2 linked regions of the Daphnia pulex genome follow. The protein of the gene in region 1 binds, or shares a complex with, the protein of each later gene. Links are inferred from orthologs where the notes say so. Each region holds a gene or a part of one and is shown on either strand. Other genes may lie near its edges.

What was found.
Region 2: bromodomain-containing protein 1-like (region 1) and inhibitor of growth protein 4-like share a complex: the UniProt entries of both Drosophila melanogaster proteins name them as parts of the enok complex. The link is inferred for Daphnia pulex from reciprocal best matches to the Drosophila melanogaster genes Br140 and Ing5.

What each region holds. Positions count from the first base shown.
Region 1 is NC_060023.1:7,793,050-7,797,387, reverse strand, and holds the start of bromodomain-containing protein 1-like, read right to left. Parts: upstream 3,092-4,338; 5' UTR 2,915-3,091; coding exon 2,185-2,914; intron 2,112-2,184; coding exon 1,816-2,111; intron 1,748-1,815; coding exon 1,595-1,747; intron 1,533-1,594; coding exon 1,216-1,532; intron 1,154-1,215; coding exon 1-1,153. Other genes in the region: potential E3 ubiquitin-protein ligase ariadne-2-like, read right to left, coding at 3,545-3,700, 3,768-3,983, 4,050-4,277. UniProt on the Drosophila melanogaster protein: Scaffold subunit of the histone acetyltransferase (HAT) Enok complex which has histone H3 acetyltransferase activity.
Region 2 is NC_060018.1:8,154,801-8,158,382, reverse strand, and holds inhibitor of growth protein 4-like, read left to right. Parts: upstream 1-1,402; 5' UTR 1,403-1,642; coding exon 1,643-1,679; intron 1,680-1,791; coding exon 1,792-2,030; intron 2,031-2,084; coding exon 2,085-2,202; intron 2,203-2,270; coding exon 2,271-2,360; intron 2,361-2,423; coding exon 2,424-2,626; intron 2,627-2,688; coding exon 2,689-2,790; 3' UTR 2,791-2,907; downstream 2,908-3,582. Other genes in the region: uncharacterized protein LOC124210402, read left to right, coding at 3,280-3,285, 3,377-3,582. UniProt on the Drosophila melanogaster protein: Component of the Enok complex which has a histone H3 acetyltransferase activity.

The sequences.
Region 1 (4,338 bases):
GTGATCAATCTTTAGTTGACGGGCGGCCGCTACGGATCGAGGCGAAGCCTTGACTGGAGGACCAGCAATACTAGAATCGCTGCTGCTTTTACTGCTACTGCTGCTGCTGCTGCTGCTACTCCCGCTGCTACTACTTCCGCTCGAATCCGAGTCACTGCTGCCTTCATCACGTGTTTCATTTTCAGGTCGTGATTTCGATGGACTGCTACTGCTGCTCCGGGTAGCAGCCGCTCTCCCGCCAGCTTGCAAAGACAATTTCCTACGAACTTTGGCCAATTCGTTTCTCAAAATTCGGATTCGTTTAACTTTGAGGGGTCCAGTTGGCATTTGTTGAGCTTTACGCAGGAATTCTTCGAGTTTCGAAAGCTGCTGTTCAAGGGTATCAGATTCACGATACTTTTCCGAGACGTACTTATCGATTTCTTCGACTTTGCTTTCAGGTTGACTTATTTCCGACGGTGGCAGTGGAGTTAAGTTGCTGCTACTGTCGCAATTGTTGTTGCTGATGACTAATGTTTCCAAATCCTTTCGAAGTTGTTTAAATAGAACCTGAGCACCTTCTTTGAGCTTGATTGCTTGCTTATAATACATGGTGTGCTGTGCATTATAGACAGTGCAATTGTGGATCATCAGGTTGAAATCTTTTTCGAAAGCTTCCAGCGTTGGATATTGCCCAGCGTCCAACTTGTTCTGCATTGTCGAAAAGTCCATCGGTTGTTGTATAAAATCGAGATAGTCGGGGACTTGGCTGATGTCAACCGGATCGGCAAAAATGTCGTTGTTATCACGCTCCTTCAGAGTTTGTAACAAACGTCGCATTAGATACTGCAACGGATAGATTTGGAGTTCCAATTCCTTCTCTTTAATCCGCATCAATTCTCGCTTCGTTTTCTCTCTTTTGCGAATCAACTCGCATAACAGCCGAGCTCGTTCCAAATCCTGACGAAGTCGTTGAAAATAACGCAGTTGGCCTAAGAGATCGTCAGGCTGAACAATCTGATCACCGCCCAATCCTGATCCAGACCCAGAGCCCGTTGCCGCTGAAGATGCTGGCCTACGCGAAGGATGGCTTGTTTGAAGACGACGTAAAAGAGGCACACCATTCCTGGACTGCCGTTTCAGAGTCCAGTAGGCAATCAATCTTTGGATAAATCTAGATCAAACAATATCATTAGTACAGAAATTTATTTTGCGGTAGGACAATAATATAAATACCGAATTTTCCCTTGAATTTGGGGAACGGAAGAAGCGATTTCCTGGACGCGTTCAGGAGGTATAGTGGGGATGGAAATAATAGGAGCTGCAGAACGTTTCTCTGCCAGGATTTTACGAGCCTTTCGCATTTTCTCGCGGAAAGCAGCTTTCGACTGCGCTTTGCGAATAACCTCACCTATTCCGTGATCACCGACCAATGGCTTTGAATCAGAATCGGCTGGTGTGTGAGCATCGCAGTAGGCCGCTTTACGGATGCTGATATTGGGTCCACTGCTTGGTGAGTCTTTGGCCGTGTCAATTTTCATGTGTAACCCAGCCTGTTAGAAGAGTTCAAGTAAGTATTTTGATAAATATGCTTTAATTACAGTCGTAACAATACCTGCTGCGCACAAGTGACATGGAACGCCGTGTAACAGTTGGCCCTATGACACTGAATGCAAGATCCAGCTCCTCGTTGCTTACAAATGTAACACGTCAATTTCCAACGAGCGGCAGGAATGTTTTGTATGCTGTCGATCGGTTCAAGGAAAACCTGAATAATAATAATAATAAAATGCTTAGTAATCTCTGCAATGATATGAGAAGATTGAACGTTATTACTGTATTAGCAAAGCAGACTTCTGGTATCCACAGAGCGCAAACTACATGAGCCCATCGGTTATCATCCGTTTGTTTGAAAGCACCTCCTCGATTTGGACACAAAGCACAATCAACCGCTCGTGAAGGTGACTGTAGACATCGACGACAAAGCCATTGGCCCTCAGGAATATACGGGACACCATAGCATTCTTGGTGGACAGCGAGATTACACATGTCACAGAAGAGGATCACATTGCTGTTTTGGCATTCTCCATCCATGCATATGCAACATTCAGCGTCCTCATCGATAGGTGGTCCTAGTTAGATATTTTTTCTCAAATTAGACATCTTTATTTTGCAGACTTAATAAAGAAAAATAGAAATAAAAACCTTGATCTTTCCCAGAACTTTGCATTTGAAAGTAAGACTCTTTTTCCAGTCGATCCATTAGCAATTCAAATGATTCTGGGTTTACTTCAGAAAGGTTTTCAAATCTTCTTTGTTTGTTTATCAACTCTAGCCAAGTAAAATCATCTTCGTCCATATCAAATTCCACTTCATCTTCCATTTCATCAGGAGATTTCTCAATGAAGCGATAGTAAGACTTTGGTCTTTCTGGGGCATCTGGCTGGCTCCATGTTTCGATGATGGAAAATGATGCCTCCGGCAGCTTAGGAGGGGAGACTTTTTCTTCTTTGCGAACCACTGGTTCAACTGGCTTCGGGGTCTTTTTCTGCAGATGTTTTGGAGTGTGACTTTTACTTGTTGGAGTTTTGGCATAGTCTTGGCTTGGTGTTTCTTCATTTTTCATAGGCACTTCATTCTCATAGTCCTCTTTGCCCACAAAGCTTATGGAGTCAAAAATGTTTATCCTTTGAAGTTTGCTATCAATTTCAAGTTCAACAATCTTCTGGGCTTCTGCAAAAGTCAAAACCTGCTGTGGTGATTCTGATGAAGGTAAAGAACTACCAGGATTTTCATGATTGAAATTAAACAAGTGGAATTGAATGCCCGCGAAACTTTTGTAGATTTTGCCGCAGTCTTTCGCGGGGCATTCATACGGCGGTTTAGTTGCTCTGATGTGGTTAAGAAACTCACGAATGTCAAAGTCGAGACCCATTTTATTACAATACAATAACAAGTATGTTATATTGTTTCACACACTGTTTTTTCTCTATTTCAAGAAACCAATTATATTAAACAAAGTTTTACATTTAGTCCATTTTTGTTGTCGTTTTTCAGACCACGCACTAAATGACAACTGGCCAGACACCTGGCGCCAACGTTTTACAACTCGTTACAGAAGTGTTTTTGAAAAGAAACCCCTTAGGCACTTAAATTATGGAAGATAAAAAAAAAAATTTCAAAATTTATGGGGCTGAATAATTTTTTTTAATAAACAAGGGTAACGGAGTATCCAGCACCTTATTTAATAAAAAATTGCTCAGACAATATAAGAAAAAGGGAAATAGTAAACGTTTCAGTGATGCAATTTATTCATTTGTTACTATGGGAATACGAAACAAAACTAAAAAGAAAATTTCGCAGTAAAAAAAAACGAAAAACAAAAAACGTTGAGGACAACTGATAAACGTATAGGACGAAAAATATCAAATGACAATAGACAATCGCAATTTCGATTCCTATCTAAAGCGACAGGTAAAAGCCAAAAACCTATCGACCGTAGTTACAGGCGCGTTGGTAAAAATTTTCAAATCCTATTCAATCCATTTGCTAACCAGCAAATATTTCACGACTCTAGGAAATCTTGCAATAGCGTGGTGCGCCGTTTCTCGCAAACGTCCATTTGAATGCCCAGATCGCCTCTATCGGTCGTTTCGGCCCGTTCCACTTTCCACGATAGATTTTCTATTTCGGCTTCCAACTGAGCCTGTTGGTACTCGAACTAACATAAACAGACGTGGGAACGTTAATATTGGTAAAAAGGCATTAACGTTTTCCGAATCACTCACCAATTCCTTTCGAGGACCTGCATCCATGTAGTAAGCGTAAGGGTAAGTATACTGAAGAGTATACCTACAGCGTGCCAACAAGGCGGCAGCATCCAATAAACACTGCCAATCAATCCAAGTACCATCTGTGCCGGTCATGACTTTACACTGAATACGCTCACGGATCCGTTGCAATGTTTGCTCCTCCAATCGTAAACTCTTTGCATGATTCTCCCACTAAAAAATATTCGAAAATAGCAATAAAAGTACAAAGTTTTGATCGGCCAATTTCTAGTAACTTACTCTTTCAAAGTAATGGAGATATTTTTTCAAGGCTTCTTTGGCCCGAGCGTGAGAAGACTCATTGGCTACGTTGGGATTTTCCTCATAGCGTGAACAACGGTAATATTCTGATCCGTGAGTCTTCCAATCACCCAGACACATCCAGCAAAAGTCATGTTTACAGCCATAACATTGCATGTGGTTACATCCTCCATTCTTTTCTATACAAATTTGGCACTTGGGACACACCTAGTAACAAGCAGATGGACCGTTAAGAGCATTATTTTCGTTTAAATGAAAATTTGAGTTA
Region 2 (3,582 bases), on another chromosome or scaffold:
CGGATTGGCCCGCGGACCAGGCGTTTGTCCCATTTAAAAAAATGCCTCAGTGGGTTCCCATATTTTTGATGTTTTTTCCTTCAACCCGGGCAGTGGCCCGGGATTTCAAGGCCTGGGTTACAGCCCTTCAGAAGAATCATGGATCTCTCCATACCAAGGGCTATGGTCCGTGACGTGAAAGCCCGGGACATGTCACGGGAAAAATCCTGTCCCGTATGGAGAGACTCCATGCCCTTCTACATGCCTTATGTATGGAAGAATAGGGTTGTGGTCCGGAGGTATTTGGGCGGTTTTTTTACATGGGTTGCCTAGATGGTTTTTTTTTAAACATGGGTTTGAGCAGGTTGGGCCAATAGCGTAAATGGGTCCGCCCCACGGGTCACAAAAAATTTAGTCCGGGTCACGGCCCGGATAAAAATCTTAACAAACTTTTTTTTACCCTAAATTTCCCTAAATTTCTTAATTATCTTCTTCTTCCAACAGTTACACTTCAATGCTTTCTTTTGAACACCCCTGAACGCCCTATTCTACCACTTATCGTACTTTTCATTCAATGCGGTGGCAATATTTTTAGGTCTTTCTTGAGGCCGCAGGCATTTTGAATAACGAGCTTCTCTATGTGACTACTAGATGGCGCCACCACTCGGGTTGGCCCGCGGACCCGGCGGTTCGACCCGTCGCCCGCCCCGTACAAAAAATGCCACGGTGGGCTGATATTATTTTGAGGTTTTTTTTCTTTAATTCGGGCTGTGTCCCGGGCCACAGCCCAGGAAGAATGAAGAATGGGATTATGGGTAGGGCTATGGCCCGGACGTTTTTTAGCGGGTTTTTTTTAAATGGGTTTTTTAGATGGGTTTTTCTTCTTCCGCGGGTTGGAGCGGGTTGGGCCAACAGAGTAAATGGGTTTGGCCCAGGCCGACCCATGGGTCAAAAAATGTTTACCGGCCGGGTAACGGCCCGGGTAAAAAATCGGGTCAAACACACTTTTTTTTTTACAAACTTTAAAAAATTCCCTAAATTTCTTAATTATCTTCTTCTTCCAACAGTGAGACGTCAATTCTGTCTTCTGTTCACCCCTGAACGCCCTTTTCTACCACTAATCCTACTTTTCATGCTACGAAATTCTCGTAGAGCATTTGGCGGCAATCTTTTTAGGTCTTTCTTGAGGCCGCAGGCATAGAGAATAACGAGCTTCTCTATGTTACTACTAGATGGCGCCACCGCTGGGTTGGCCCGCGGACTCGGGGGTTCAACCCGTCGCCCGCCCCGTTAAAAAAAATGCCTCGGTGGGTCGAGTCGGGTTGGGTTTTTTTTCGTTCAGCCCGGGCGGTGGCCCGGGTTTTCATCGCCCGGGCCACAGCCCTAATTATGGGAATGGGTTTAAACGCGCAATGGTCAGAAGAGGCCTCAAATAGAAAAACATACGGGTCACTAGCAAGTAGCCAACTAGCAAGTTAAAGCTTTTTTTGTTTACGTTGATCCAGAGGAGGGAAAGAAGCCTAGCTGATCTAGCAGTTGATTTGATAATCGAGTACCAAGTGAACGAAAGAACAAATTAAGTTGCAATCTGAGCCATTCCAAATTCAAGCCAAAGATTTGCTTCCTTCTGAAAATTTGAGTTTTGACTTTATAACTTCTGAAAATGACAAGTGCAGTTTACCTTGAGCACTACTTGGACAGTAAGTCTGAAAGTTTCTACCAATAATTTTATCGATGGCCACCGGTCGTTGCTAAGATATCAAAAAATGAAAGCAAAAATGCACTTTGTATTGAAAAATTATCAAAATTTAGGTTTAGAATCGTTGCCTATTGAACTACAGAGAAACTTTTCTCTAATGAGAGATTTGGACAATCGAGCACAATCCTTGATGAAAGAAATTGATTCCCATGCTGAAGACTACCTAAAAGTAGTCTCTCAAACAAGTCCAGAAAAAAGAAAAGAACAAATGGAAAGGATTCAGAAGCTTTTCAATAAAGCAAAAGAATATGGAGATGATAAAGTCCAACTAGCCATTCAGACTTATGAATTGGTTTGATATTTACTCAATTTATAGTTATGAACTAATTCTATTTGGTCTTATTAGGTTGACAAGCACATCAGGCGTCTTGACTCTGATCTGGCGAGATTTGAAACAGAAATTAAAGAGAAATCGTCTGTTGCAACACTCTCAGCAGAAGAGGATACTCCACCTGCAGTCAAAAGTAAATCAGTAAAGTAAAAAATCAATAATTCAATTTATTCTATCATAACTTTTTCAATCACAATATAGAAGACAAAAAGAAAATGGTGGAAAAAGTTGAAAAGAAAAAGAAAGGAAACAAAGCAAATATTAGCACTGCCTGTGAAGCTCCTGTTAAAGGTTTAAATCCATACAATTTAATTATACTTAATAATCTTGATTAAAAAACCTTGATATGAATAGTTGATGAAGGCCCAGCTCGTAAAAAATCTAGTAAGAAGAACGTTGCTGTTGCAACGACTCCAGAAAGCTCCTCCTCTTTTGGACTCTCTACCATCGGGCATTCGGCTGATGTTCTTGATATGCCGGTAGATCCGAACGAACCCACTTACTGCCTTTGCCACCAGGTTTCTTATGGAGAAATGATTGGCTGCGATAATCCTGACGTAAATCATGAAAACAGTTTTTATGCACTCCAAACTTGTAATTTGCTTTTTGCTATTTATAGTGTCCAATCGAATGGTTTCACTTTGCCTGTGTCAGCCTAACAACCAAACCGAAGGGGAAATGGTTCTGCCCGAAATGTTCCGCCGATCGGAAAAAGAAGTGAAGACTGAAAATTAGTTGTTGTATCTCATTGTCATTGCTCATTCGAAAATAATCCACATGCCATTATCGGTTTTTTAAATAAACTTATTGCTGCTCCGTTTAACGAGGTAATTTAAAATCAGGTCTTTGTAATTTTTTCTCCCTTTATTCAATGGTTTTAGACTTTTTATCGAGGAATGGTTATGCAAGACGTCTGTGTCACATTGACCTTGAATCCACATTGTTATTTGTTGTCTTAAGTCGTAACAAGATACTTAATCCCGTTGTTTCCATTTAACAACCGCTGCATCGAATTCTCAAGTACACGTAATTGTTAAGCGAATTAGAACATTAAGATCTCTTCGATTTTGGTTCTACTAGATGGGAAAGCATGAATGTCTGGGTCAAAACTAGGTATAAAATAAGTTCGACAGCATCCACTAGATCCACATTCTGGTTTGAGCTCTCTTCCTGTCAACAGTGTCCGCACTAGCTCTCCAGTCCATCAAGAATGAAGGTATGTCCCGTAAATTAAGAAAGTTTATGTCGTATATATATGTCACTCATGTTTTGTTTTTTTTTTCTTTTTTTCTTTATTTGTGTTGCAGTATTTGATCTTGGCTGTCATTTTTTGCCAAGTTCTTTGTCTGCTAGCAGACGGTGAATTCGACGAAAATGTTGCTGATCTACAGGATGGTTTTGATGAATCGCAAACATTGGCTCGGCCTCGTCACTTCAGAATGGAAAAGTACCAACGGCATCCGTGGTGGATTCGCCCACGATCGAGAAGAAAGAAGAACAAGAAAGTTAATAG